Rattus norvegicus: one gene and its partners. The protein of the gene in region 3 interacts with the protein of the main gene of each other region in a pairwise test. Links are inferred from orthologs where the notes say so. Each region holds a gene or a part of one and is shown on either strand. Other genes may lie near its edges.

Region 1 (4,094 bases), on a different chromosome or scaffold from region 3:
CATTTATCTAGAAAATATTTTTTCTTTGTTTCTTTCTTTCTTAACCAAAATATAAGCTAGAATTAGGGTGTCCTTTTCCTAGCAGGGTGGATCATGTTCCCTGAGTTCTAAACTTGGGTCATCTAGACAACTTTAGCCAGAGCCCATTCCCATTATGTTGCTTAGTGACCTACTGAGCATAATTTTAACATCTGTATTATTGAGGCCTGCATAGTCTGCCTTGCCCTATGCAAGCTCTATGGGTGGATACAGGTTTCCGGAGTTCACAAGCACACACACACACACACACACACACACGCACGCACATCTATACGTGAGAGCCAGTGATGCTTACAGATTATCCTCCTATAGGCACTGGATGCATATTTTTTTTCCATTTTTAGGAAAACAAGCTAAAAAAAAAAAGTCAGACAAATGAAAACCAGACTTCAGCAGTTACATGCTGCTTCCTGAGTAACCGAAGAATGTGCTTCTTGTGGTTAAAATGAGAGATCTGTTTAATATGGATGAAATACCAACACCCCAGGCATTTTAATTGACATTTCACTGTGACTTTTTGAACTTAGGAGTGCTGACACGAAAACCTATTCTTTCTGCTCTGGGAAGCTTGCAGTAGGATTGTAGAGCCAGGGAGAAAGAGGTAACAGGCAATCTCAATCTCAATCTCTCTCTCTCTCTCTCTCTCTCTCTCTCTCTCTGTGTGTGTGTGTGTGTGTGTGTGTGTGTGTGTGTGTGATGTGAGCGCGCGAGCATTTATACTTTGTTTTTACCAACACTGCTGGAGGATTCCGTCTTAAAAACATATTAGAAAAACATACTGTAAAACCATCACCTCTTTTGCCCTCGGCCTTGCCTTACCCTATCAGAGAGAAAAATGTTCGCTGTGAGCATTTGTAAAGACGCTCCCACCCCCAAAGTCAAGGGGCACTAGTGCACTTTGGAAACTGAGTTTCCAGAGCGACTAACTCGAGAGCCCCATGGCACCCAGAGTACATTCGAAAACAGATCCCAACGTTGTCAGAGTCCAGGATAGCCCCTCTTTGCGATTCTCTTCGTCGCTAGCCGCTCTAGGTTCTGGGACAGCCCAGGCTGTCTGGCAGCAGACGGGGAGAGACATGCTGTTTTGTTTAAATCCTCCACATTCTTTGCCATTTCCCCATTGGCCGGATGGGGCTACCCTCCCCGCCGCGGCCGCTGCTGATGTCAGCCTCGTCGCTCTCGCTCCTCCCGCACCCACCTCCCTGCCCCAGGCACACTGCAGCTCGGCGCGGACTCTCCAGTCGCGGCGAGCTGGCTGCAAACTCACGGGCACGCACGGAGCTCGCAGAGCCGAGGGACTCGGGGGAGGGGACGCGCGCAAGGCGCTGGCAGCCAACCGCCGAGGTTGAAGACACCCGGGGCCCAGAGCAGGGCAGAGCCCTGGCGGCCACGGTTTCCCTTCTCTCTCTCAGCTGAGCTCCGGAGAGACTCGGGGACTGGCCCTAAAAAAGAGCAGGAAATCTTGTTTACCGCCCGGGGAGAGGAGCCCATCGAGCCTTTGTTTGGAAAGTCAGCATCGCCGGCTCCCGCGGCAATGTGTTCCTGGTGACATTAACCCAGGGTAGACGGGTAGGAGAAAAGGGAGCTCGCCAGGTTCAGCTCTGCTTTCGGAGGAGGATCGAGAGGGCGACTTTTGTGCATTTGTTTGAATTTGTGGAAATCCCTTTTCCCCTTCCTTTTGCCTCTCTTGCCCGCCGCCGGGCATGTCCTGATCTGGTAGCCGCGCCTACCAGCCCGGGGCTGCTGATCGGAGCTGTCTCCCGCGGGTCTCCCTCCCTCAGTGCCTGACTTTGCAATACCGGGAGAGCTGATCTCTGCGAGGAAGGAGGCGGGGGAGTCACAGACACCGGGACCCGAAGCTTGACATGCTCTGGGGCGGACCGGAGGCAGTTAGGAGCTGAGCGCACCACCCCGGCTGCTTCGCTCTCCGGTTCCCAGCGTTTTTGCCCTCCACTGGGCTCCAGCCTTGCTCATCAGTTGGGACGCCCCCTTCTTTCCCGGGGTCCGCGGCCGGCAGGAACATGCTGCTGAAGGAGTACCGAATCTGCATGCCGCTCACCGTGGACGAGGTAGGCACCGCGCCCGGCCTCGCCCGCTTCGGGTCCCCAGCCGCCACCACTCGGCCGGCGGGTCCACTGCGTGCGGCGGGGAAACCCTGGCGCCCAAACCTGGAGGCTGTAAGGGGAGGAGGCTGGGGATTCGCTGTTCCCACTCGTCACCCCGGCAGAGGAAAGGAGGCGTGGGGGTGGGGCGGGGGAGTCCAGGTGAGCTCTTCGGGGACATCTAGAATCAGATTACTGGGGACCACAATGCGTCACAGGGAGCTGTTGCGCCCCCTCCCTCCAATTAAGCAAATGCACAGAGTACAAGACTCCAAGCATGCTCTGCAGCCGGAGTATCGGGGTACCCCGCCGTGGTGATAGCCACTGTCCCCATGTACCCTTTACGAGGTGGGTTTGCAGGGACATATCCCGCGCGGTCGGGATCTGCCGAGAGTCCCTCCTGGGGGCACGTCGGAGGCCTAGAGAGGGTCCGTTTAGAACCAGATTTCTCCTTGTCGCCTCCAGTCTAGGCGCTGGCTCCTGCCCAGTCCGAGCATCCAGGCTCCCTCCGGGACCTGGCTTGTCCTTTGCTGACCGCCTGGCTCGGAAACTTTCTGCGTGTCTCGTTCCTTCCGCGGCGGGGAGCGTGGTCTTAGGAAGAGCCCCAGTGGTGGGGCCCGCGGCGCGGCCACCGGAGGGCGCTCCAGGCCGTCGGGCCCAGCCCTCCCGGCTCTGAGTATCGGGGCTGCAGGGTAGGGGGCTCCCTGCTCAAGGGCTCGGCCTCCACGCGCAGGTCAGCTTGCATTCTTCCGATTCTTCCTCCGCCCCCCCGACCTCCCCCCCTGCCGCCCCAACAGCGAGCTCCGCCATTGAGGAAACGGTGACTCAGTGAGGGTCACTCCGGCCCGGGCTTCGTTTTCGTTCCCCTTTCTCCCCACCTCTTTGGATATTTCATAAGTGCTTTGCGTCTGTCTAGGGCCACATAGCCAGAATATGAAGCCAAACAAGGCAGTTTGAAAAAAGAATCCTGTGGTTTGGTGTGGCAACAAATGAAATCAGCGATCCACGACGTATTTGTATTTAAAACCGGTGCATTTAATCTATCAGACATGTGATCTATTCACTACTTTGTGAAAGGGGCCTTGTGCTTTTGTGTTACTCAGTCAAAGACTATGGCTGCCCCCCACCCCCCACCCTTACCGGGATGGTGGTAGTAATCTTCCTTCGGCATCTGGCGCCTGTGTTAAGGTGAGAGAGACCCTAGGACCCTCCCAGGCAAGATCAAAGTAGCCTAAAGTTTACAAAACACTTGACACTCGACACTGGCTGCCAAAGACTGAGAGGGATAGTTTAGCCACGCCCCACTCCCCACCCCCAGCCTTATCAACAAGCTTTAGAGTTTGCTAGCATTTCTGGGGTGGCAGCATTTTGAGCTGGGTTTTAAGCGGTAGTTAGGTGCCTCTTAACCTTATCAATGAAGAAGCAGCGTACGGCTTTGTGGAGGATGGAGAAAGGCAAATGAATGGGAATGGACGTACACACCCCTCCCCTCCCTGGTGCTGGTGCTTTGTGGACATGCTGTCTTCCCACCTCTGGAACTGCTGAGCAGGACCAGGGCGACCGGACCTGGGGGTGTCCGCATGCTTCCAATCCGTTTGGAAGCTTTGACTGTGGTAATAGATGGGACTGTGCAATCCCTAGGGCGCTCGCCGACTCAGTCAAATAATGAGTCAGGTTCTATGTAGTCCTGGCTGTCCTAGAACTCACTGTCTAGACCGGAGACTGGACTGGCTTCGAACTCAACTCGGAGACCTGTCTGTTGGGATTAAGTGTATGTCACCTGGCTCCGCCTTTCTTAACTGCTAGAGCATTCCCCCGACGTTTAAGTATTCGGTGTAGTAATTACATTTGAGAGGTTTAGGGGGTGGCTTTCCCTCCCCCCTTCTCTCTCTCTCTCTCTCTTTCAAGAATTTTTTTTAACTTTACAAGTACCCTGTCGCTGTCCTCAGACAC
Region 2 (2,758 bases), on a different chromosome or scaffold from region 3:
GGATGAATCCCTTTAACTCTGTGAGCCTAAGTGTCCACTTCTGGCATTAGGATGTGGTGAAGTATTGAGAAGACCTCTTTAGTTGCAGCCTCTACGACAAGGATGAATTCGGGAACCACTGGGTATCACCAGGATCACTGATGTCTGCAAGGAAACTAATCTAGAGTTGATATCCAGAAACTAAGCGGCAATGGAAGGGCAAAGAGAAGGCAGGCAAGAAAGACCACAGCGACCTAACCATGTCTATTTTCCTAGGTCTCATTGGTCAGGATGGCACCAATATACACTTGTGCATGTATGGCTGACTGGATCATGTCCTACCACATTCACACAGTAGCTGTGTGCCCACTCTCTCTCACTGTTTCTGCAACTCTGTACATTTCTTTCTTAGCTGTGAGGTATCCCCTAAGTTCCTTCCAGCTATGGCTTCAGCCACTCATTTGAAATCTCCCGAGACACACACACCACACCCTACCCACAACTATTGCAAAGGACTGAGGCAAGCCACACGCCAGGGTGCAGTTAGGATTTTAATGATGGTGGTGACAGGTGTGGAGACTACTCAGGAAAGAAGGGAATCTGGGAAAGTCCTTCCGTTGGTATCAGGTAGACTTTGTGTGGATGATAGTAGAACTTCCCAGAAAGAAATGCCACCGGAAGTAAAATAAAGCCAGTGGAGACTAACCTTCAATGAAAACAGAGAAAACATCAGAACACTGGCTGTCGCAGCAGCAGAGAGAGTAGTCTTTACTGGGCATTAATTAGATCCTCTCTGTGTCCACCCAGTCCTACTGTGCCCAGCATGACTTGGGGCATCTAGACGGGAGATGCAGATTTGCAGTCCTGTTCTTGCCCCTTGTCCTGTCCACTTCCCATCCCTTCTTCTGGAACAAAGACACATGGGAAAAGATTACGTGGAAGGCCATGTCCAAGCTAGGGTGAGGATTCAACCCATGGTCAGTGGCGTATGCACAAAGTTAGATCTCAGTCAAAAAAAACTCCCAATAATTTCATTTAGTAACACAGATCCTGGCTCATTCTGGGTTCATGTTGCTGGCTCAGCATTCAGGGTGTACTCAAACTCAGAGTTCAGCCTGGATTCGATCAGGCCTCAATTTCTTTAGTCTTGTGACAGAAATAAAATTAGGCTTACCCTGCCCTCCTGACAGGCTGCTGTGCACAGAGCACAGAGCCTACATGTGATTGATGATAACCACCCCCATAGGCTCATATAATTGAGTTATATTTTATAATAACTGTTACAAAAGCTACTTGGGAAGGATTGGGAGGCATTGACTTATTGGAGGAGGTGTCACTAGGGGTGAGCTCTAAGATTACAAAAGGCAATGCCATTGCTAGTCAGCTCACTCTGCCTGGTGATTGTCTCAGTACTTAAGTCTCAGCTACTACTCCAGCACCATGCCTGCCTGATCCCATGATTCTCACCATGATAGTCTTGGGCCTTAACCCTCTGGAATTGTGTCTTCAATGCTTTTACACTTTCCCTTGGTCATGTTGTTTTCTTTTTTTTTTTTTTTAAGTTTTTTTTTCCCGGAGCTGGGGACCGAACCCAGGGCCTTGTGCTTGCTAGGCAAGCGTTATACCACTGAACTAAACCCCCAACCCCGGTCATGTTGTTTTCTAATGACAATAGAAAAATAATGAAGACACTGCCCATACCAGCAGGGGTTGTCATGGCTTCCTCCTTCTGTTCTTCCTCTTCAGAGAGGGACTGCTAGCTGTCCTGTTAGTACATTAGCTGAAGGAAACAAGTCAAGATTAGCCTCAGTCCTTGTCATGGCAAATTGAACAGAAGCCCACCGAACTTGTTTCCTCCCTCCAGCTCATCACTCTGTCACCTGTGTGACCTCAATCAAGTATATCACTATTCATTTGTGCCCCACTGGACAAACTCTTGTGAGGACCCAATAAGGTAATGGGAGACACAGAAAGACTGTGTAAAGAGACATCCATAGAGGGACCACCTCCAGGACCTGACATCATTGGTGCCTGATTCCTGTTGTCCCAGAAACTCTGTCAAGCATGAGAAGATAGGCTCAAATGAAGTTCCCAGTGAGAAGAGGAGGAGCCAATGGCCTGCCTTAGTCAGGAAACAAAGACTCTGTATCCCTGGATGGGGTACTCCTACAACTCCTGCATTGGCCCATAGAAAGCACTCCATCCCCAGGCTGTGACTTACAGAGGAGACCCTGAATAGCACTTCCACTCATTGTGCTGAGGAGGTACTGGAGCACTGGGCATAGCTGAGAGACAAAAAGAAGGTAAGCGTATTAAAAAGAGGAAGAGAAAAGAAAACAGACGAGACTTTGCTGGGAACATGCTGCCCACCTACCCCAAGCAGAGGGACTCATTTCCAGGATCCAAGGACAGTTAACTTTGCAATCCCGAACCATGGAATGGCAGCAATCTGAATCAGAACTGTCCCAGGTTACTAACAACCCATCATCCCAGGATGTCAGGAGTCCAGCATCTGCCTATCTGGGATCCAGAACCCTAACACCCCAGACTCCTAACAACCTTGAACTCTTGAACCCTGGAAGTTTAAAGTCCTCAGAAGGCTGAAGCCTCTGGAGAGGCCTGAATATGGATGTCTAAATAAGGGTGTGTTGGTTGCAAGAAAACCTTAGCTTACAGGTAGCTGTTCTGCAGAGACACTGTAAACAGCTCAAGGCAGGACCTGTGGTTTCTGCCTCTGCAGCCCAGCTACTGAGGAGGAGGAGGGGGCAGCAGACATCTC
Region 3 (3,972 bases):
TAAGGTCAAAGGCAGGGCAGAGGGAAGTGAAATTTAACTTGGAAAAGGGTGGGTCAGCAGAAGTCTAAGGGCCCTGAGTATTAATTAACCCTTTGTTCCGGGCTATGGACTATGGCTCGGTGGTAGAAAACTTGCCTGGGATGTGGTACCCTACCAGGAGAAAACAAAGCAAGTCTTTGTTTACCAGTCCCAAAGGAGGAGGGGTTGGGGATGTCCCTGACCTCAACTTAATACATCCCAGTGTGTCCTGTGAAAACATTTGGTGACCTATTAGACAAGATAGGATGCCCCCAGGACAGCTAAGTTTAAGGGCTACTCAGGTAGCCCAGGAGAGAGGCAGGTCCTGCCCTGGTCATCTGACAGACTTTGGAGGCAAACCATGGAATGGATCCTAGCTCCCCACACGAACCTGGGCAAGTCTGACATAAACTGCCACCTGCTCTTCAGCACAGCAGGGACTCCTGGGCTCTGGAGGACAGTGTGGAGGACACTCTACACAGCAGGCCTCATTGCTGCCTCCTCCCTGCCCCCACTGCTCCTCCCAGGACTTCACAAGGCTCCTCCAACCTGAGCTGCTACAAGCTTCTGCTTAAGAGAAGTATGGGTACAGGGCTGGGGATTTAGCTCAGTGGTAGAGCGCTTACCTAGGAAGCGCAAGGCCCTGGGTTCGGTCCCCAGGTCCCCAGCTCCGAAAAAAAGAACCAAAAAAAAAAGAGAAGCATGGGTAGGTGAGGCCTAGTCAGGGACCCACTTCTTTCACAGAGCCCAGGCCAAGTGCTGAGCAGAGCAGGGCATCCTTTTTAAAAGGCTGAGGGTGGACTGAGGCGGGCAGCCATGGTGTCCCAGCTGCCTTCCATGGGGTTCTTGCAGATCTTGCAGGCAACACAACAGAGCTCTCGGGCTCATTCTGAATTTCAGCTTGTGAGTAATTCAGCGTGTCCCCAATACCGAGACATACAGTAAAACGCTGTCATCAGCGCAAAGCCCAAAAGTGACTGAAAGTCCTTCCTACCTGCTACTTCACAACCCCCCCGGTGCTGACCTGCTTCTGACTGGCCCCTGCCAAGATCCACAGAGCTTGTCAATCAAGTCCTAGGGGCCTGGTCTTTGCATTGCCTGCTAGCTCACATTTGTGGTGGATACACTGTGCCTATCAGGTTCTAAATGTTGATGTAGGCCGACGAAAACCAAAAGTTAGCCCTAAGCAACTGATAACCACGAAATGCAAAGCACGGGAGCTAGGTCTTCGGGGGTTCGAATCCCGATTGCACCTGCTATTACTTGGATGATCTAAGCTGAAGTTTGCACTCCGATGAAAGAGCATAGCTCCTCTGGCTAGGCGTGGTGCTGCGTGCCTTTAATCCCAGCACTCTCGGGAGGCAAAATCGAGAGGATCTCTTGTCAATTCAAAGACAGCCTGATGTATATAGCGAGTTCTAGGCCAGCCAGAGCTAGATAGCAAGACCCCCCCCCAAACAAAAACAACAGAATGCAGTTTCAGTGTTCTCAGTGTAGGACTGAGATGAATAAAAGCAACACAGGCTGGGGATATGGCTTGGTTGGTAGTGCTTCCTTATCCAGCAAGAAGCCCTGGGTTTTATTGCCAGTACCGTGCAATCCTGGCACTGGAGAGGTGGAGGCAGGAGGACCAGAAGTTTGAGGCCATCCTCAGCTGCATAATAAGTTTGAGGCTAGCCAGTACCACACGAGACCCTAACTCAAATGAATAAGACATATCAGCCCATAAACACCAGCTCTTTTCCCACCTGCTTCTGTTTTAGTATTATTTGTTAGTGTGTGGTACTGGGATGGAACCCCAGTCCTGGTGTGGGCTACTCAAATGTTCTACCATAGAGACTCATGCTGTCCTCATACTTATTGGAGGGTAGGCTCAAGCAGAATAAGGCAGAGCCTGACCCCTAAGGCTGCCTCCCAGACCTGCAGTAGCCCATAAATCTGTCCCTAGAAAACGGATCCACTCAAACCCATTCCTTTACTCCAATCTCCCTCCAGCTGCTTAGCCAGCAGCTTAGGAATGGGAAACCGGCCAGAGCAAGTCACAGCCCAGCCCGCGTGCAATCAATCACTCAGCTGCTCCAATGCCACCTATATCTTCTGTCCCTTTCGTCTCAGACACCAAAGGGTGCTTAGTGGTTTAACACCTGAGAGAAGGTTTAGGGTTTCAAGAAACTTGCGCCAAGAAACCAAGATGGCCGGTTTACTTCCAGGTTCACACCGCTCTTGCCAAAGCTAAGTGGCCAGCACCTCTGTTGCAAACGAGGAGGGCTGAGAGAGAAAAAGAACTTAGGAAATGAAGACATCGTAGGCAGCCCTGCTACCCGGAGCCCAGCACAGCCTCTGGGGTTTTTTGCTTTTAGGAAACCTCTACAGTTCCTGCTTCTTAATTATGAAATAAAGACGCTGCATGCGGAAATTAGGGAGAAGCAATTGTTTGGGAACACCGAGTTTCTCCTAACTTCAGCCAGCACCCAGAGGGGTCCACCCGGACTGCACTGACCTCTCAGGAGGAGAGGTGTCCCTGTCCTGCTGTGGGGGACACCAGGAGCGCTGGCCCGGACGGTCCGGGACCCGTGCCAGCCTGGGTCCATCCGGGAGGGGCGGCCCTGTCCGTCTCTGTCCCCAGGTGTCCCTCTCGGTGTCCGCCGCCTCCTCCCCGGGGCTCTGCGCCTTCCCCTCGGCTCCGACTCCGTTCCCCAGGTTCCTGGACCCCCGCCCGACCCGGCCGCGCGGCCACCTTCAAGTTCACGGCAGGCAGCTCCATCCCGACCCGGCGGAGGGCACCTGAGCGACGGCCACGGGGACTCCTGGGCTCCGAACTCGGGAACAAACTTCCTGGCCCCGCCCGTCGCGTTGCGCCAGTTCCAACGGCGTGAGGCCAATCCGCGCGGCCACGTGACTGCAGTCGGTTGCTAGGAGACGGCGTCTAGCAGCTTGCCCTTGCTGCAAGGCTCAGGCTCCTGCTACTGCCTAGGCCTCTACCAGCTGCTGTGCTTCAAGCAGAAGGACGGGATTTCTACAGACTAGGGCTCAACCGGCTGCCTACTTGGGATCGGGGCGAGGTGGTGGGACCTCCCGCAGCCATAAGAGCCTGGGGGCAACCAGGCAGAAACTGCTGGTGTGATAACAGTTGGTGTCTGCCCAGGACACCCTCTCTCCTCTCTTCCTTCCCTTGCACAAGAATTAGTACAGTTCCTACCTCATCATCTTCGTGAGGGTCGGTGAATTAATTTATGTCCATAAAGGAAAAAAGCGAGGGCTGGAGAGGTGATTCCGTGATTAAGAGCACTTGTTACTCTTTCAGAAGACCTGGGTTCAGTCCCCAGCACCCACCCGGTGTACATGTACATGTGATCCGACCACACTCTTTTGTCCTCCGCAGGCGCCAGACACACGGCCTCACGCACATACAGGCGGGTGAGACATTTATATACATAAGATAAATAAATACAAAAGAAATTGAAGATTAGTTCTTACTGTGTTAAAGTTTTGCTTCAAGCTTATTGGATTTCGAGAGAATTTCATAAAATTCATTTAAAAAAAGAAGGAAAGAAAGAAAGGTAAAAAGGAGGTACAGCAAAAAAAAAAAAAAATTAAAAAAAAAAAGAGGTACATCGAGCCAAGCCTGTAAATAGGAGTCTTTGGGAAGTCGAGGCAAGGCAATACCACGAGATCAAAGCCTGCTTGGCTTTATAAAATGAGACCATGTTTATTTCTTCTTTATCTGTTTAGGTGGATGCATGTCCTACTATGAGTGTGGAGGTGAGAGTGTGGATGGTTCTCTCCTTCCATCCAGGGTCCTGAAGCCTGGGAAAGGAAAGGAAGACAGGACCCCAAGTCAAGGAAAAGGCTTTCCAGCTGACAACTGAACAGCCTCCATCATGAGGAAAGCAGAGGCCGGACAACTGTGGAGCCCAGCAGTTCAAAGCCAGCCTGGGCAACCGAGCGAGACCT
Region 4 (4,293 bases), on a different chromosome or scaffold from region 3:
GGACCCCTGAAGCTCACATCCTCTGGGGTCAAAACTGCCTGCTGCCTCTCTTCATTTGTGGCAAGAACCCCCCCACCCCACGCCTCAGGGAGCCACCTGGAACCTCTGGTTGTCCTCTGTTCTCTTTAGGACACTGGGTCCAGGCATTCTCTGGTCCCCACAGGAGGGGCACCTGCTGTGGGCATCAGGACATCAGGGTCCAACCTCGTATGATGGAAACTGAGGCCAAACCAAGCTCCCCAGAAATAGATCTCAAAGAGGTCTACTGTACAAAGAACCCAGTAAGAGAGCTAGGATACCCTGAAGGGGACAGGAACCCTCAGGGCACTGAGGGATGAACTCAGAGGCCAAGGGAGGTCACCACCAGATGCGGCAACATTTGACAAGCATGCTCCCACGAAGCGTGGAATGGTTTAGTCTGGCCCACAGTTGAGCAGGTAGGACACACGTCACCCACTCTCAGCCATGCAAGTGTGGGAGAGTGGCCAACCCCGTTGTCAAATAGGTATGATGGTAAGATGGAAACTATAAAAACTACTGGAAACAACCTCGAAGGGGTGGATGAGGGCAAGGATCCAGAGGCCTCTGCAAGATCGTCCAGGGGACACAGTCAAGGAGCAGGATGCATGAGCTTAGACCAAGCCAAGAGGTGTGAGCACTTGTACAATACCACAGTAATCACCCCGCTACCTGCACAGCACTCCACGGAGATGAGTAAAAAAAAAAACCTCACTGCTGCCTGTCAGCGGGGGTAACGCGGAGTGTCTGCGGCAGATCCCAAGTCCTTACTAGCCAATGAGCCAAGGCAGGTAGAATCCTTCATTACCAGGGAAAGCAGCCAGAGGGGAGATAGGCCTCTGAGGTTCTAATCAAATGAGTCACTTGCTCTGTCTCAAAAGGCCCCATAACATCTCTTAGGCGTCTGTTTAACCTCCATCTTATGAAGGAGACGGACGTTAAACGACCTGTTTGAAATCACAACCAGCTGTGGCTGGAGTGTGACTCCACATCTATGAGGCAGGAAGAGGACATAAGGAGTTGGGGGTGGTGAGGAGGAGGGGTCGTGAAGGAGACAAGAAGGGGTGTGAACTCATCACACAGCCCAGGCTGGCCCTAAATTCACCATGCTTATGCCACAGCTGAGCCTGGTACACTGGGAGCTTCTGACAGTGACAGAGTCCTGAGGAAGTCCTCGGAAGCCTGCCACGGAGCATCGAGGGCCTGAGGGCACACTACACACGGACCTCAATTTCCAGACCCTCACCGGCTATCTCCATTCCCTCTGAGGGCCAGATGGGGACGAGAGGACCTGGTTCTGCCCTCTAGGCGTTAGGGTCTGAGTGTTGGGAGTGAACCTGCTGCAAGCTCTGTTTCAGGTGCCGGTCATGAGGAAAAGCGGAAGGGCAGGTGTCAACAACACCCAGCCAGGGCTTCCAAGGCCCCAGGAATCTCCGCCTGCCCTTCTCCATGAGCCCAGCGTGACCCACTGTGGTTTAGCATACAGCCCAAACCCTCATCTGGCCTACTTTCCTCCTCTAACATCCCAGCACACGCACGCACACACACTCACACACATACATGCTAGTACACACAACCCAAACCTTCACCTGGCCTACTTCCCGCCTATAACTCCACCCACCGCCATTCCCAACACACACACACACACACACACACACACACACACACACACACACACACACCCTACAGGGTCATGCCACTCACACTCAGGGCACATGCAGAACACCCTTGGCTCCTTCAGCTTGAAGTGTGACCTCCTCCCTTTCCATGAACAGAAAGTTCTACTCTCAGTGTCCGTCTTCAAACGCAGCTCTGATCTCTGCGTCCCTTCAGATCCCTAACCCAGATCCCATTTCCTGGGTACACACACAGCGGGGCGGCCCCTTCCTCGCCTTACAGCAGCAGGACCCCAAGTGCCAAGAGGCATCTCTTGGAATATGTTCATCAACTTTACATGGTGTGCACCTAACAGAGGCTCGGTCAGCTTGGTCCAGTGGGATCTGGACCGGGGCTGTCCCCTCCAGCCCAGTGGGAACGGAAGCCTCCACTGATGCTGGACTTCATGTGTCAGGAGCAGCTTACCCTTCTGACACCCGGCCTCTGTCCTTGCTCCCTTTCCCATCTGCTCTACGCATCCAGCCTGGCCAAGGCATTCCAGGCACTGGCCCCAGGATGCCCTCAGCGGGACATCTAATTTCTTCTCTAGAGTGGCCCCAAGGTGGATGGCCCCAGCCATTACGGTTCAGTCTAGCTTCCCATCTTCCCAGGCCACTTGACTCTACTTCCAGCAATAAACTTTCTCCAGAGAGAAAGGTGGCTCTGACCATGACAGAAAACCCTTACACAGGTTCTCCCCACTTCCCTAGGAGGCCCAGGACTGCTTTCTCAGGGGACGTGCGATACTTGAAGACTGAGATTCCTGGGCTCCCCTTAGGGTTGCTAATCGGAGCTCCACTAGCGGGATACCGCAGGGGGCCTCCCTGGCGCTCCACCCTCCCAGACGCCGGCGCTCGCGGCTCAGTAGAGCCGGGCGTGCCTCAGGTTTCGCTCATCTGGGAACGCGCACCCGAGAGCGCCCCTTCCAACCCGGGCCACCGCGCCCGGAGCCCGCTCCAAATTGGAGAGCGGCAGTGGCAAGCGGCAAGCCACGGTACCTGTCAGCAGTTGGAGCCTGTGTCCCAGCACCTTCATCTCGGCGTCGGAGGAGCGCGCTGGGCCGCCCGGGGCGAGGCGCGCAGTAGCCGCAGAGAGGAGCGGCGGGAGAGCGGGAGCGGCGGGAGCAGCAGCCGGTAGTGCGGTGCGCTCGCCGCCCCCTCCAGCAGGGTTTAAAAAAATCCACCAATGGCACAGCCGCGCACCCCAAAAGGCACCCGCCGCCACCTGGCCGTGGTGAGCGCCGATGGGGGGGGGAGAGTGTGACACCACGCGGGAGGGGCCCCTCGTGAACAAAGACGCCTGCCGCCCCCAGCCCTCGCGGGCGGACGGGCGACAGCCGTGGTCTCCGGGGGTCCGAGCCAAGAAGGCGAGGGGTGGCTGGGAGACAGGGCGTCGCCCTCGCGTGGGCGGAAGGTGGCCGGGGGGCGGGGAAGAGAAGGTGCGGGACTGCTGTGTGGCTGCGCCTAGAGGAGATCCCAAGGGTGAGGGAGCGGCGACTCACCCAGGCTGCCGAGCTACACGGTCGCGGAGGCGTGAGCCTGGCCTGGACGCCGCCGCCCACGAGCCGTGCAGGTTCCCCGCACGAGCGAGCCCGGGAGCTGGGGGCGGGGCGGGGCGCCGCGGGGGGCGTGCCAACGTGGGTGGGTGGGCGTGGGCCGCGCTGCGCGTCCCGCTTGTTGGCTGGACGCTAGCTGTTGCGGGCTGTGGGAGTGGGCGGGAGGCTCTGCTGGAAGACCCACAGGCCTGGCCCAGACGCAATCTGCAGCACCCGGCCCGGCTCCCAGAGGTTCCCATCTCTTTGCACTGCGTTCCTTGCGGAGCGCCAGAGACGCAGACTTCGGGCTTTGTTTGGGCTCCCACGGGGAAACTAGGCCCACTCCCGCCACCTGTGACCTCTCCTCCCTTGCAGTCCGACCTCACCCACCGGTCTGGGGAGACGCCGTGGGAGGTTGGGGAGAACCAGGAGTTCAGTGGTCCAGGAGCCAACGCTCCTCTGCTTGCAAAGCCTGAAGGTTTCTGAGGAACTCAGGCCACTTCCTGGCTAAAGATGTTCTTTCTGGGCACCCCTGACGGTTTCACTCACACTGTGACTTCAATCTCCTCTCTGCTGTTCACTCTCCGTTATCAGGAGCCGGAGAAGGAACAGGACTTTACTTTCCCTGAACTCCCTCTACTGGGGTCTAGTCCTGGTTCCTCGGAAGGAGGGTCAAAGGCCCTGAAGCATCATAAACCCTGAAACTGGGACGAGATAAAGATTCCTGGAGACTCTGTTCAGGCTCTAAAGATGACTATGGGCCCCTTCCTTACCTTTTCTCTGGGTTCCTGTCTTTATGACCCACAGAGAAAGTACTAGACCAGGAAATCTCTGAGGCCCTGGCTGTGAGGGAGGAGAGTGTCAAGAGAAGCCAGCCCACCTCTTCTGACTTCTGAAACCTCTCGGTAGGAGGTGCTTTGCCATTAGGCCTGGGCTCCAGGTGGCCAGCACCTGAAGTAAATTAACCCCACGGCCAGCTGAGGAAGCAGCTGAGATTTTGAGGCTGCAGGTGGTGCACACCTGCTTATGGTTACTTACTGCTTGTGGTTGAAGGGATTCTAACATGGTTCTGCCAGGCCTTGCCC
Region 5 (4,309 bases), on a different chromosome or scaffold from region 3:
CTGTGGGCTCAAATCCCGCGCGGCCCCAGATCCCGGAGCCCCGGCCCACGTCTTCCGCCGCGGGCGGGGCAGGCCCGGGAAGACTCACCGAGGCCCGCCCGCCCGCCCCGCCCGCCGGTGCCGGAAGCGTAGAGGGAGCGGCCGGGAGAGACGAACTAGGGGTCGCCCTTCCCTTCCCCCCATCTAACCTTGAAGTCGTTGCCGCTGAGGTCCACGCCGCGCACGAACGGCAGCACCCCGGTGGCCTCCATGGTGGCGTAGCTCTCCTATGGGCTAGGAAGACGCAGGGTAGCCGGGAGCCGCGGGCTGGGTCAGCGCCGGCCCCGCCCCTTTAACCCGCGCGCGCCTCCTCCCGGCCGCGGCCTCTGCGGGAAGTGCTGCTAGGCGACTCCCAGAGCTTCAGGCCTCGAGTTGTGGGACTGGAGAGGCCTGCGGGGGTCCTGCTGGAGACGATCACCACTTCCAGTCTCCAGTCGCAACGTGGAGGGTCGGGTCCAGGCATTGTTGCTTGGGCTGCTGTAGACCCTGAGCTGGCCGTGATCCCGGAGAGATTTCGGTACCAACGTCAGGGACACAGGCAGTCTCTGCGTGAGGGACCCGTGGTGGTGGTGAGACTTCCGGGTCTTTGGGCCTAGCTCTTCATCTTTGGACTCAACTTTGCTCGTGTGTAACATGCTTCCCAAAATTGTCAGAACCAAGTGAGTACTCAGGAGTGTCAGAGAGCAGGATGCACAAACCCTCAAAATTCTCCCTTGGCCTCAGGATTCTAGCCAGTGCTCTTTATAGGCTTGTTTCATGCTCTAGAAGACCAGCATATCTCGTCAGCTAAGCTGTTAGTGGCCATCTTGCCCTGGCCTGCACATCGTAGGTTTCCAATAAACAGACACAGCTGTTCTATGGATGTACAGGGACTGGCACCCAGTGTTTCAGAAGGGAAGAGACTGGTAGAGTTCGCACAACAGGTAACAGAGCTCTTTTCCCGGTGTGTGCCAAGCGGGCCAAAAGGAAATGAGACCACCAGTCACTCTAGCAGGGGCAAACTTGAAAGACAGAATGTGGGCCTTTGGGCTAGGTGCAGTTTTGTCTGCCTGGTCCATCAAGGGACCGTGAGCTCAGACAGCTTTCTCCACACTGAGGCTCCCACTACAAGTACACACAAGGTCAGATGTGAGGCTAAGGCACGACTGCAGAGAATTCGATGTCAGTCATGGCTTTAGTGTGAGGCCCTTCTTCAACAAAACACCCCCAAAGTAAAACTAGAGCAGGCCCTGGACGATTGTCATTCACTCACTACTTCCCCCGCACCTTGGGTTTACAAGGTAACCTTGCGCCTTTAAATCCGGAGTGTCTGTGGTTTCCGCCCCCAGGTCCAGGGCGTGCCTGGTGTTCATTGGCTGAGCTGCTCAGTTTTGAGCACGTGTGCGCAGGAGTTGTGCGCTCCGATTGGAGCGAAGGCCTGCTTATCCAGCGTTCCTTTCGGGTCATTTGCCGCCCCGGGCCTCGGCGTTCGGTTCCCGGGGTCTGGACGCTCCATTCCTAAGCGGGTCCTCCTGGGCCTCCAGGGTCCTGCTCGCCGCGTCCTTGGGTCCATGCGCTGACGCTCGGACGCAGGTACAGCTACAGCGCAGGGGGCGGCCGGGGTCTCCTAGTATTGGGCGTGGCTTGTATCCCAGTGCAGGTGGGGGCGTGGCCTGTGGTCAACACTGCGGTGGGAGGGAGGACTTGGGAACTAAATATCCGAGTTCGAATCCCAGGGGTGCCTCTTCCCAACTTGGGTATTGCACAGGATTTCCAGGGTCTCAGTGACTTCGTTCTTGAATAGAGTCTAAGAGCCTTTTGTATGTGGTTACACGTTTCTGTTCAACCCTGATCCAGGGCAGTCAGCTTTGGCAGAAATGGAAGAACAGGTGACATCCAGGCTGTGAAGAGGCAGGTTATTTTGTTATTTTGTTTTATTTTGAGAAGCGGATCTATTATGTAGCTCTGGCTGTCCTCGAACTCAGTGTGTAGACCAGGCTTGCCTTGAACTCAAGGAGACCTGACCACCTCTGCCTCCTGAATGCTAAAATGAAAGGCCTGCGCCACCACAAGGGCCTGAGTTGGCTTTATTTAGCCACCTCTTTTATTCCCTTCTTACCAGAGTTTGAATACAAGACCCCTCCAGGTGTAGGACTGAGTCCCACGTTACGCAGGCGGTGGAATGTAAGCTAAGTCCCCTGTTTGCAGAGTGGCTCACTGGTCTGAGGGCAGCGATAGGTTTCGAGCTTGTAGTAGGTCCCCTGGCTGGCCTTTGATCTTGCCAGGCCCTAGGACAGGACAGGGTCTTATTTTTAGTTCGGGAGCCGTGGACAGGTGTCTCAGCTGAGTCACACAGTGCTTCAGGCTTCAACTACTCTAGGCATCTTGTCACTTGGCAACTAGGTCCCAGGGCAGCCATGGCCCTGAAGGAAGGGCTGAAGTCCTTGGTGCCCCATCAGGCAATGACCTTTCTGGCTTAGTGGACCAGGCCTAGAGATTCCTGTGTCTTTCTCGAGTTCCTGACCCGGCCAGTCGCACACTTCCCAATCTAACTCACTGGTGCAGTCATATAGATAAACAAAAGAAAGTCCTTGGCTCCAGGTCTTTCTCTCACATTCTTACCCTCGCCAACTCTGTTCAAGTCCATGGGCCCTGGGCAGCCTGTCCTGATTCAGTGTTTATTTAGGGTTACCTTACTCACCACTGGACTATGGGGCCCTCAGCCTGGTCTCTGATGGGGTTGCCCTACCCCAAGTAGTTTTCCTGTCAAGATCTGGGGGGCCAGTAACTAGATCCCTGAATTTGCTAAGGGTCTATCAAAGGTCTGACAGGCCTCACCCAGGCAGGCTTCCTGGAAACCCATATTGCAAGTCTTTCTGGGGCTTTGGGTTCCTCCTGACAGGTTGTCACACAGTGTGGCTGTTCTGGGTGGGTCCTGATGAGGAGTATGAGAACCTGGTCAGGAGGCATAGGGATAATACTCAGGCTGGGGGGTGGAAGAGTCTAGAGGCTGTGCTGTGAGTCCCAGACCTTACCACTCAGTTTGTGGCCTGGCAACTCATGTCTTTGTAGAGTAAGGGTGGTGATGACGAGCCCAGGTTCCCAGCATCTCGGGGTGAAGTCAGGACAAAGGCCTGGAGCCTTCCTATATCAGCCCTTTTCCAAGGCTTGGAAGCTTGCAGGTTCCAGGGAGGGGCTGGTAGGTCCCCTGCTTCCCTCCAAGAAACTCTTTGCGCAGCCCCTTTCTCTCGGGTCCTTAGAAACCGCCCTCTTGGTTATTGCTAAGCACCTATGCACGCTGGCCCTACGAATTGCTTCTCTTGCAGGTGACCATGGCAGAGTTCTCACAGAAGCAGAGGAAGCAGCATGGTGGCGAGGGCCTGGGCAGTGTGGTGGACTTCCTCTTGGCTAACGCTCGTTTGGTGCTAGGTGTGGGCGGGGCTGCAGTGCTGGGCATTGCCACCCTGGCCGTAAAGCGGGTAAGGCCATGGTGAGGCCTGCCTGAAACCTCCACAGGAGAAGGCCAGGACGGGGGAGCTGGGGGATGGTGGGACTTTTGGAAGTCGGACTGGAGCTCAGAGCCCCTACTTTTTCACCCTAGCTTCCTGGTTTGCTTTACTCCCCCTCCCCGCCGCCCCCAGCTTTGCCGTGCAACCCCGCACCCCCCCCCCCCCCATGCTCTGATCTGTGTCACTTTGCCTGTAGCTCATCGACAGGGCAACTAACCCTCGTGATGAGGATGACACCAAGGGGGACAGCTGGAAGGAACTGAGCCTGCTGAGAGCCACTTCACACCCCAAGCCCCAGCCCTCTCCTGCTGCCTTCAGCCAGCCCAAATCTCCTGTGTCCCCCTCCCCCTCTGCCCCAGGTGAGCTGCACTGCCTCCTTCTAGTGTGGGGAGTCCCCTGTGCACGCCCATGCGGAAGCTGCAGTCTTCACATATTTCTGTTCCTCTTTGGGTTGTGGGCAACTCAGATGTTTAATAGGTACTGTAGGTTTGTGTTTTTCTGGATAGAACCCAGTGCCTCACATGTGCTAAGCAAACGCAAACCTCAGCCCTGGGATCCTTGTTTTTGCCTGTCTGCTCTCTACTATAGCAAGGTTGCACCATGTGATGGTAGGGAGCCAAAGATGGGGAAACTGAGGCCTGGAGAGGGGCAGGATCTCTCTGACCCATTCTCCGTGAAGTTGTTGCAGTTGTAGAAGCCACAGTGTTGGGACTCTGGGCCAATGACTTTGTCATCATGCCCTCACTGTCCCATGACCTGCTTGATGTCAGGGTTTACTCAGT
Region 6 (4,195 bases), on a different chromosome or scaffold from region 3:
TGCTGGTGGGACAGAGACAGACAGATCTAGGAGTGCACTGGCTGGCCGCCCTGGTTGAATTGGTAAGTTCAATGGAGACCCTGTCCCAAGGGAGAGGCAGAGAATGACAAAGCACAGTGAGATGCCATGCTCTCCTCTGGTCTCCACACGCGTCCACACCCCATACAAACATGAAGAAAATATGGAGCATAACATGAAGCTGGAAGACATCTTCACGTGTCTGTGGGACGTGGTGGTGACACCTGTCAACCCAGCATTTGGGAGGCAGAGGCAGGCACATGCGAGTTTGAGGCCAGCCAGGACTATGTAGAGACCCTGTCTCAAAAGCAGCAACAATACAAAAGACGTTTCTGCTTCTCTTTGGTGTCTGTTAATGAGTCGGGATGAAATGACTATAAGTGCATAGGGATCTGTTAAATAAACACTAGTAATTACCAGGAAGTTAAAAAGGAAAGTGTAGGTCCAGTTCAGAAATCGATCTGGAAAAGGGTGTAGGAAGGTGTTCTGGGAGTGCTTTTTTTTTTTTTTTTTTAAAGGTCTTGATTTTAAAGCAGTGGTGGAGGGGGGCTTATTTTTATTTTGAGACAACCTCATTCTATACTATAAACTAGAGTATCGAATAGAGAATAGACCAGATTCTATAGGCAGAACAGATCTGGAAGGCAAGGAAATCCACCTGACTCAGCCTCCTGATTCATTTTTTAAGTGGTGTTGGAGATTGAATATGGCCTTCAGTGTTGTGTGTTGTCAGCCCTCACATGACAGTCTTATGGTTATGGCTAACATTGTGTTTATTTTTACATTCCAGTGGTTAGTGGTTTAACTGTCAGTGTTCTTCTACCTTGGGTCCTCAACATACTCTCGCTAGGATGTGACTGCTCCTTCTTTTCTTGTAGCCGTCGTGGAAATGATGAGCCAGAAGATTCAGCAGCTCACAGCCCTGGGGGCAACGCAGGCCACTGCCAAGGCATGAGAATGTGTCGCGGAAACGAAGCAGAGAAGGACCCTTTTTCAAGGGGCCTGGGACTTTTTTTGGCAGTGGCCTCCTGGGAAAGTGTCTGGGAAGAGAGGGTCTTGTGTTTAATGTTAATAAATGTGCCAGCTGTGCAAATGGTGGTCTTTTCTTACATTAAACGCGGGACCGGTGGTGAACTGGGAGTGCCCGGGGGGTTTACTTTTGTCAGGAGCCCCCAAACTGGACTAGCCACACTGCCTTTTGTAAGTTCCAACCAGCGGTTTGAGGAGCTGTAAGAAGGCTTGCACTAAGTTGCTCGTGCGGTTTTGCTTGTTGCCATGGGGACAGATGGCAGGCGGAAGTGAAGCTGTACCAGAGACTTCCTCTTCCGGGTCGATCTTCCTGTGGAGGGAACCTTATGGGTAGAGGGTTCCTGCGAGGAGTCTTAACACTGTTGCCGCTCCGGTCAGTTCTCCAAGTCCAGCACTGCATGCTTGTCTCGGAGCCCGATCTGCCCCCTAAAAGACCTCGCAACAACCTCATGGCACCGCCCCGAATCGGGACGCACAACGGCACCTTCCACTGCGATGAGGCTCTGGCTTGCGCATTGCTCCGCCTACTGCCCGAGTACAGGGTATGGACCCATGAACCTAACCAGGTCCTCTCTGATGCTTGCAGAAGCCTAAGCACCACCGTCCTCTGAGACACGCGCCCTGGAAACCCAACCTTAGTTCTCTGACTCCTATCTGACAGCCCCTTCTGTGTCTGCAGAATGCAGAGATTGTGCGGACTCGGGATCCTGAAAAACTGGCTTTGTGTGACATCGTGGTGGATGTGGGTGGTGAGTACAACCCTCAGAGACACCGTTATGATCATCACCAGAGGTGAGTTCACAAACTCGCTGCCTGTTCTGACTTTCTTGATTTAACTTTAATGCTCCAGTCCGGCCACCCACCCACCCCCAAGTCCATGACAGCCAAGGTCACACTGCCTCATCATTGAAGCCACGCAATTTATTGCTCTGGGAATTAAAGCTTGCTTTGGGCTTGCTCCTTAGCCTGGAACTTCCATCAGTTCCCTCCTGCACTCACTTCTTTTCACACCAGCAGTTTTCCATTCTCCTGTCCTTGCCGAAGGCTGCTGGATTCTTCTAGTTCAAGGACAATCTACTGAGGTGGCCTTTTGCTTAAGAGTAGAGGTGTCTTGTCTGCATTCACGTCTGTGCACCAAGTGCATTGGTTTCCACGGGGGTCGGAAAAAAGGCGTCAGGATCCCCTGGAGTTGGCATCAAAGAAGTCCTGAGACAACGCCTGGATGCAGGGACTTGAACCTGCATCCTCTGCAAGAGCATCCCGCTCTTTTAGCCATCTCCAGCCCTGTGATGGTTAATTTTAATTAACATTATCAACTTGACACAATTTAGATTCTAGAATCACCAGGGAATTGGTTCATTGAGGGACTATCCAGATGGGGTTGGCCGTGTTTGTGGGGTGTTTGCTTGCCTTGTAAGACCCGGCCCACTGTGGGAGGCACCAATCCCTGGGCTGTGTGAGGGGAAGATGGTGAAGTTCGTGTGCCCTTGTTTTCTCTCTCCTCTTGTCTGGGAGAGATGTGACTTGCTATTCTAAGTTTATGCCACCTTCCCTTCTGTGATGGACTGCAGTCTGATGCTGTGAGCTACAATAAACCTTTTCCCCAGTTGTTTCTGTCAGGTGTTTTATCACAGCAGCAGACAGGAAAATGGGCTGTTACGTGTGATATGATCACAGCACTACTGCACCTCCAACTCGAACTCATGCTTCAGTGCGGGTCCCCACCGTTCCTAAAAGATAGGCTTTCCTTGTGTGTGCTTCTTTCCCTCGTCCAAAATCTCACAACTCCACCCTCCAATTTAGGAATATTTGTTCCCTTCTGTTGTTTGTTTGGTTTGTTTTTTGAGACATGATTTCACTATAGCACTGACTGTCTTGGAACTCCCTCTGTAGTCCAGGCTCCCAGAAACATGGCTGCCTCTACTTCCCCAGTGCTGGAATGAAAGGTGCGCTACCATGCCTGGCTTTCCCCTTTTAAAGTAAACATCACCGGTATGGAATGTGAGTAGCCGCTTTGCTTTGCTTTTTGGCTTGTCAAGACAGTTTCTGTATGTATCCTGACTGTCCTGGAACTCACTTTGTAGACCAGGCTGACCCCAAACTCACAGAGATCTGCCTGCCTCTGCCTCCCAAGTGCAGGGATTAAAGGCTTGTGCCACCACACCCAGCTTGTGAATAGTCTTGTCCTCTAAAGTATAACAGCTACTTCCCTAACATCTGCATCCTAAGACGCATCATAAGTAACTTAGAGATGATATAGAAGATGCAGGAGGAGGAGCCAGGTGATGGTGTACAGCTGTGACCAGCACTTCCCAAGTAGAGGCAGGAGAGTCATAAGTTACAGGTCATCATGTGCTAGCAAGTTTGAACCTAGCCTGGATCACATAAATCCCATTCCCCTCAAGGAAGAAAAATTATAGCCAGGTATGATGTTCTGCACCTTTAATCGCAGTTCTTGAGAGCCAAAGCAGGTAGAGTTCTGGGATAACCAGGACTACACAGAGAAACCCTGTCTCCAAAAGCGTGTGTGTGTGTGTGTGTGTGTGTGTGTGTGTGTGTGTCTGTGTGTGTGTCTGTGTCTGTGTCTGTGTCTGTGTGTCTCTGTGTGTGTGCATGTGCGTGTGTGTCTGTACATGTCTCTGTGTGTGTGTGTGTGTGTGTGTGTTGTGTGTGTGTGCATGTGTATGGATGTATGAAGTTTCCAGGCAAACACTGCCCCACTTTACATAAAGAACTTGAAGTCTGGAGGCCAGGCCCTTGGGAAGCACAGATGGTGACAGTAAGCTACAGTTGCTCTGTCACTTGTCCCCTCTCGCAGGTGACAGTAAGCTGTAGTTGCTCTGTCCTTTGTCCCCTCTCACGGATGGACTTGGAAGGACAGGATCTTTGACTTTTCTCTATAACGTTCAAAACATAAACCCAGCGTACAATAGGATGAGTCCCAGCGTTGTCACGGGAATGCCGGAGTAGAAGCTTTCAGCGAGGCCTATGTTGGCACAGAGGAAACCCTAACATCTTCTCAAGTGGTTTATCCCCCATCCCACTGATACCCAGGTCTCAATGTATAAACTTGCACACACAGATTAGACTCGTGGAGCAACTTTTTCAGCTCAGCCCCTCCCTGTGCTCCTTAGGACTTTTACAGAAA
Region 7 (4,273 bases), on a different chromosome or scaffold from region 3:
TGTGCGGGGACAGAGAATGCTGTAGGGGCGGGATTGGGTGCTGGGACCCTCCATTGGCTGGGCTTCCTGAAGGGGCAGAGGCTGTGTGCAGACATCCAATCTGGGTTGGGCTTGCAGCTCTGTAGAAAATTGATTTAGGCTAACTTGAACTTGATGTCTGGAACAGGATTCTGGAGCTGGGGTGTGTCAGGCCAACCTTCTTGCCGGAGGATTTGGACTAATGATCATGCCAGACATCTAGTTGTGCTATGGCGGGTGGCCATGCCGTCAGGGAGGCGGTTGGGAAATATTCGGAGTGAGGAAGGCACTTCTGAGAAGAGGGTAGAGGGGCTTGTTGTCTTACAAGAGCAGCACCTGTACGACTCCGAGGGTAGCTTTGGATGCTATATTTAGCTTTGTGAATAATGAAAACAGCTGGATTGTGATTATTTTGGGGCCAGGTGGCACGTAGGAAAAGTGAGGCAGTCTGCATTCTCTTTGGGCTAATGAACCACCTAAGACAGATCTTCCCAACTCCAAACTCTTTTTTTTTTTTTTTTTTTTTTTGGTTCTTTTTTTTTCGGAGCTGGGGACCGAACCCAGGGCCTTGCGCTTCCTAGGTAAGTGCTCTACCACTGAGCTAAATCCCCAGCCCCCTGAGGGCACACTTTTCTTAGCCACATATTTTGCTTAGACGTGTGTGTTGTAATGTGGAAGGAGAGCATGCCTGTGTCTGTGGGGAGTGTCTGGCTGCACACCACACATGTACATGCACACACATGCAGGTGTTTTGATGTAGTGTGTGCACATATACAGGTTGTAGAATTTATTTACATTTTTATAGTTAGTACCAGAAACCATGTCTTCTTTTGTGCAGAGCAAGAGGCTTTGCCTTTGGGTCTACGTTTTGCTTTCCATGAAACCCAGAATTTATTATTCAGTCCTAAAAATGATGGCTATCCAGAGGACATGAAAGATAAGACATCGGAAAAGAAAAATATCCCCAGCCTCTACAGTGAATTTGTATTTCTGTGGGAATGTGTCAGGATTCCGTAGCTGGGGGAGGGGGAACATTCCAAGTAGGGGTTTTCGGAGTGCCCTCTGTTAGCCACAGAAAAAGATATGGAAGGGAAATCACTTCCTTCTTAAGGAAGGTTTAATATTGGGAAGCTCACAAGTTGGCAGGATAATTTTCCAGTAAGAGTCACGGACACGAGTCATTATCTTTGTCAGTTGAAACTAGAGCTGTGTGCAAAATTAGACAGGAATATCAAAAGAGTTGCCTTGGTTTGGCAACTGGAAATGGTTTTAACATTCTTGTTAACAGTCAAGAACTGAGGAGAGCCAGTGGGGAAGGGGGGGGGTGAGCTCAAAGGTCCTGTTTCTTCTCTAGTTGCTTGTGTGATGGGATGGGCATGAAGGGGAGGGAGGGGCAGCCTATAAGTATAGGGTGACCCGTGTCACAGGTAGTGGAATCAGAGAGACCATAGGACTCAGCGTGTGGACTGAATATATACAGGTAGGATATATGGGTCAGTGTTCTAGATGGTGAAGAAGTTGTATAATGATGTCAGTACTGAAAATAGAGGTCATAAGAGAAGGAACTAGTTTGGGGGAAGGTGACAACAATGGGGCTGAGTGCCATTGGAACTATTTTATTCTAGCCTTTTTTTACTATGATATAATTTACATGTACTAAATTCACCCATTTCCCAAACAGTTGAAAAAACTGTATCTTAACCACTAGCACAGTTCCGTGTGTGCCTTGTACTGGGATGGGTGTGTGGTACAGATGTGGGTACCTCGAATCAGAGAGTCTACCTGGCCTGAGGATGGGGAGGCCTTGAATAGCTCATGGACAGAAGGAAGCAGCTCAGAAGACAGTACACAGTGGGGAGGCAGGAGGGCTAGGACCTGCTTGAGCTGGCTCAGCTGCAGAGTATGGAACAGGTGAGGAGAGGTTGCTGAAGGAGGTTGAGGGGAGAGTTGTGGGAATGAGTGAGGCTGACAGGAAGTGGAGGTAGGTCAAGGAGTCCCGCTGGCTTGCACTTCCAATGTCACAGGGGCAGTGGTGTGTGTGTGCGCGTGCGTGTGTGTGTGTGTGTGTGCACGCGCGCGCGCGCTCTTCCTAGGAGATCAGAGTGTGCAGGAACTTCCCTGTGTTTGGTGTAGGGAGGCTGGGCATGAGAGGAAGGGCTTATGTAAAAGGGGACATGCACAAGAAAGACTGGAAGAGAGTAGGGTCTGAGACGAGGGAACAAGAATTTGAAGGTGTGCATATCTGGTCACCTATTTCTAGAGTAGAGGGAGCAAAGGGGCTGTTACAGAGGGGGTAGGTCCTGAGGTATAGGAGCTAAATATAGGGGGAACAGGGAATCCTGTGGGGGTCTCTCTGTGTGTGTGTGTGTGTGTGTGTGTGTGTGTGTGTGTGTGTGCGCGCGCGTGCATGCGTGCATGCGTGTGCGTGTGTGTGTGTTTACAGCAGAGAGATGTCTCCCCATTTTCTACCTGTACACTGCACTGCACTGACTGGGCTTTTCCTGAGTTATGTAGACTCTCTGCTTGTACCTTTGTGAAGTCAGCCCAGAGCCTACCTCCCCTGCTGTTTTCGTAGAATGTCTACATGGGTTCTTCCTAATTCGTTTAAGAATTATTCCCTCCAGACCTGGTTAAATCTGAAAAGATCATTTCAGAAAGAGCTCTGTGTGGCCTCGTATCATCCTTTTTTTTTTTTTTTTTTTTTTTTGGTTCTTCTTTTTTCGGAGCTGGGGACCGAACCCAGGGCCTTGTGCTTCCTAGGCAAGCGCTCTGCCACTGAGCCAAATACCCAACCCTGCCTCCTATCATCCTTTACTCCAAGTATAGATACACTGTCTTGATTTACATGTGAGGAAGAGGGATACACTGGCCTCAGGAACAGAACCTGTGTCCTGGAGGTCATACATAGTTGGTATCTAAGCTGAAGCCAGAAACCCATCTTTGCTGTCTGTCTGTCTGTCTGTCAGCCTGTAGTTTAAGTGTCCAGGAACTAGAAGACCTGCTGTTCTCTGGGCTGGGCAATATGTCCTGGAGACTGTTCACATACAGTGCCAGGTGTGTGTTTGTTTCCAGTCTTGGCATGGAAAAGGGAGGCAGAACACATTGCTGATAGTTTGCCAGTGGTTGCCATTTGACATGCTCACAGACAACTCAGTTCTCTGAGAAAGTGGAAAGTGACTGAGTGGTCTCACTCCCTGAGGTGTTGGTAGCCACTGCCACCGTCGGGCATCAAAGGGCAGGCTGGGCATTGCTGTGGCCAGGTCTGTTGAGAATGTCCTTCTCTCATCTAGAATGTCCTGTGAATAGCCAGAGCAGACTAGCTTCCTGGGCAACAGCTGCCTGCTTTCCCCGCTCTCCCCCTTCCCTCTGGTAGGCAGGAATGGGGTGAATCTAGAAACACATGCTTGTGTCTGCAGACTCATGAAATCATGCAGCCTGACTCTCAAAAACTGCTTTTGAGCTGGGGGCTGGTGCCGTGCCCATGTCTGCATGTGTGTACTAGTGGGTAAGAGAGCATTTCCTTCTGCTCATCAGTGACGTGAGGAGTTCTGTGGGTGTTTATGTCCAGCATGTTTCCAAGGTGTTCTAAGCTGGCAGGCAGCATACCCAACACCTCTCTGGGGTGGTGCCCCATGCTACATTGCTAAATAAAGCACCCCGGTGAGGACCAACCTAGCACTGCCAGTCTCCCTGACTCAGAAGGGATCCTGGAATTTACAGGGAGAGCTTTTTTTTTTTTTTAAAGGTATTTTTAGTTATTTATGGTCTATACCAGTGTATCCGAATGGTCACAGCGTTCATAATCACGACAATAAATGGTTCTAGATACCCAGTGCATGCCATAAATACCTTAAATACTTTCATGCGAGGGATCTAGTCTATTCTCAAGTGCAGGTGAGAAAACTGAGGGACAGAGCTAAACTTATATAATTTAACTTGCAGGTTGGCAGGAGAGCCAGAGTTCAAACCAAGCGACTAATAGAGGTCTTAACCTTATTGCTGGGCCACTACCTGAGCCAAATACTTTTTAACACATATATTTTTAATATGTAGGTTTTTTTGAGATAGGAATTTGCTGTGTAGTTCAAACTGGTCTCAAACTCATGATCCATCTGCTTCAGTCTCCAGAGTGGTATGGAATTATAATATGTGCTACCAGGGCTACATCTGGCTGGGGTTCATGGTAACTGGTGTAGGGCAGACTGACCAGCCAGTGTGGCTCTCCAGTATTTGACCATTGTCCCGTAGTCAAGAA

Evidence for each region.
Region 1: the proteins of Agtrap (region 3) and Pitpnc1 interact in binary tests that used the Homo sapiens proteins (3 or more experiments, as listed by UniProt). The two-hybrid records come from large-scale screens. The link is inferred for Rattus norvegicus from reciprocal best matches to the Homo sapiens genes AGTRAP and PITPNC1.
Region 2: the proteins of Agtrap (region 3) and Bpifa2 interact in binary tests that used the Homo sapiens proteins (3 or more experiments, as listed by UniProt). The two-hybrid records come from large-scale screens. The link is inferred for Rattus norvegicus from reciprocal best matches to the Homo sapiens genes AGTRAP and BPIFA2.
Region 4: the proteins of Agtrap (region 3) and Ndrg4 interact in binary tests that used the Homo sapiens proteins (3 or more experiments, as listed by UniProt). The two-hybrid records come from large-scale screens. The link is inferred for Rattus norvegicus from reciprocal best matches to the Homo sapiens genes AGTRAP and NDRG4.
Region 5: the proteins of Agtrap (region 3) and Mief2 interact in binary tests that used the Homo sapiens proteins (3 or more experiments, as listed by UniProt). The two-hybrid records come from large-scale screens. The link is inferred for Rattus norvegicus from reciprocal best matches to the Homo sapiens genes AGTRAP and MIEF2.
Region 6: the proteins of Agtrap (region 3) and Myg1 interact in binary tests that used the Homo sapiens proteins (3 or more experiments, as listed by UniProt). The two-hybrid records come from large-scale screens. The link is inferred for Rattus norvegicus from reciprocal best matches to the Homo sapiens genes AGTRAP and MYG1.
Region 7: the proteins of Agtrap (region 3) and Coq8a interact in binary tests that used the Homo sapiens proteins (3 or more experiments, as listed by UniProt). The two-hybrid records come from large-scale screens. The link is inferred for Rattus norvegicus from reciprocal best matches to the Homo sapiens genes AGTRAP and COQ8A.

The regions. Positions count from the first base shown.
Region 1 is NC_086028.1:92,925,529-92,929,622, reverse strand, and holds the start of Pitpnc1 (cytoplasmic phosphatidylinositol transfer protein 1), read left to right. Parts: upstream 1-1,278; 5' UTR 1,279-2,060; coding exon 2,061-2,108; intron 2,109-4,094.
Region 2 is NC_086021.1:162,959,257-162,962,014, reverse strand, and holds the end of Bpifa2 (BPI fold-containing family A member 2 precursor), read right to left. Parts: intron 2,265-2,758; coding exon 2,201-2,264; intron 1,760-2,200; coding exon 1,722-1,759; 3' UTR 1,681-1,721; intron 686-1,680; 3' UTR 519-685; downstream 1-518. UniProt on the Homo sapiens protein: Has strong antibacterial activity against P.aeruginosa.
Region 3 is NC_086023.1:163,799,352-163,803,323, forward strand, and holds the start of Agtrap (type-1 angiotensin II receptor-associated protein), read right to left. Parts: upstream 2,824-3,972; 5' UTR 2,783-2,823; coding exon 2,756-2,782; intron 2,654-2,755; exon of another isoform or gene 2,519-2,653; intron 1-2,518. UniProt on the Homo sapiens protein: Appears to be a negative regulator of type-1 angiotensin II receptor-mediated signaling by regulating receptor internalization as well as mechanism of receptor desensitization such as phosphorylation.
Region 4 is NC_086037.1:9,390,156-9,394,448, forward strand, and holds the start of Ndrg4 (protein NDRG4 isoform 1 precursor), read right to left. Parts: upstream 2,818-4,293; 5' UTR 2,710-2,817; coding exon 2,673-2,709; intron 1-2,672. UniProt on the Homo sapiens protein: Contributes to the maintenance of intracerebral BDNF levels within the normal range, which is necessary for the preservation of spatial learning and the resistance to neuronal cell death caused by ischemic stress.
Region 5 is NC_086028.1:45,907,219-45,911,527, forward strand, and holds the start of Mief2 (mitochondrial dynamics protein MID49), read left to right. Parts: upstream 1-1,490; 5' UTR 1,491-1,611; intron 1,612-3,344; 5' UTR 3,345-3,350; coding exon 3,351-3,497; intron 3,498-3,723; coding exon 3,724-3,886; intron 3,887-4,309. Other genes in the region: Flii (protein flightless-1 homolog), read right to left, coding at 189-251. UniProt on the Homo sapiens protein: Mitochondrial outer membrane protein involved in the regulation of mitochondrial organization.
Region 6 is NC_086025.1:135,333,992-135,338,186, forward strand, and holds the start of Myg1 (MYG1 exonuclease precursor), read left to right. Parts: upstream 1-1,372; 5' UTR 1,373-1,373; coding exon 1,374-1,589; intron 1,590-1,726; coding exon 1,727-1,839; intron 1,840-2,940; exon of another isoform or gene 2,941-3,046; coding exon of another isoform or gene 3,047-3,048; intron 3,049-4,181; coding exon 4,182-4,195. Other genes in the region: Pfdn5 (prefoldin subunit 5), read left to right, coding at 897-973. UniProt on the Homo sapiens protein: 3'-5' RNA exonuclease which cleaves in situ on specific transcripts in both nucleus and mitochondrion. Involved in regulating spatially segregated organellar RNA processing, acts as a coordinator of nucleo-mitochondrial crosstalk.
Region 7 is NC_086031.1:94,460,577-94,464,849, reverse strand, and holds the start of Coq8a (atypical kinase COQ8A, mitochondrial), read left to right. Parts: upstream 1-1,471; 5' UTR 1,472-1,498; intron 1,499-4,273. UniProt on the Homo sapiens protein: Atypical kinase involved in the biosynthesis of coenzyme Q, also named ubiquinone, an essential lipid-soluble electron transporter for aerobic cellular respiration.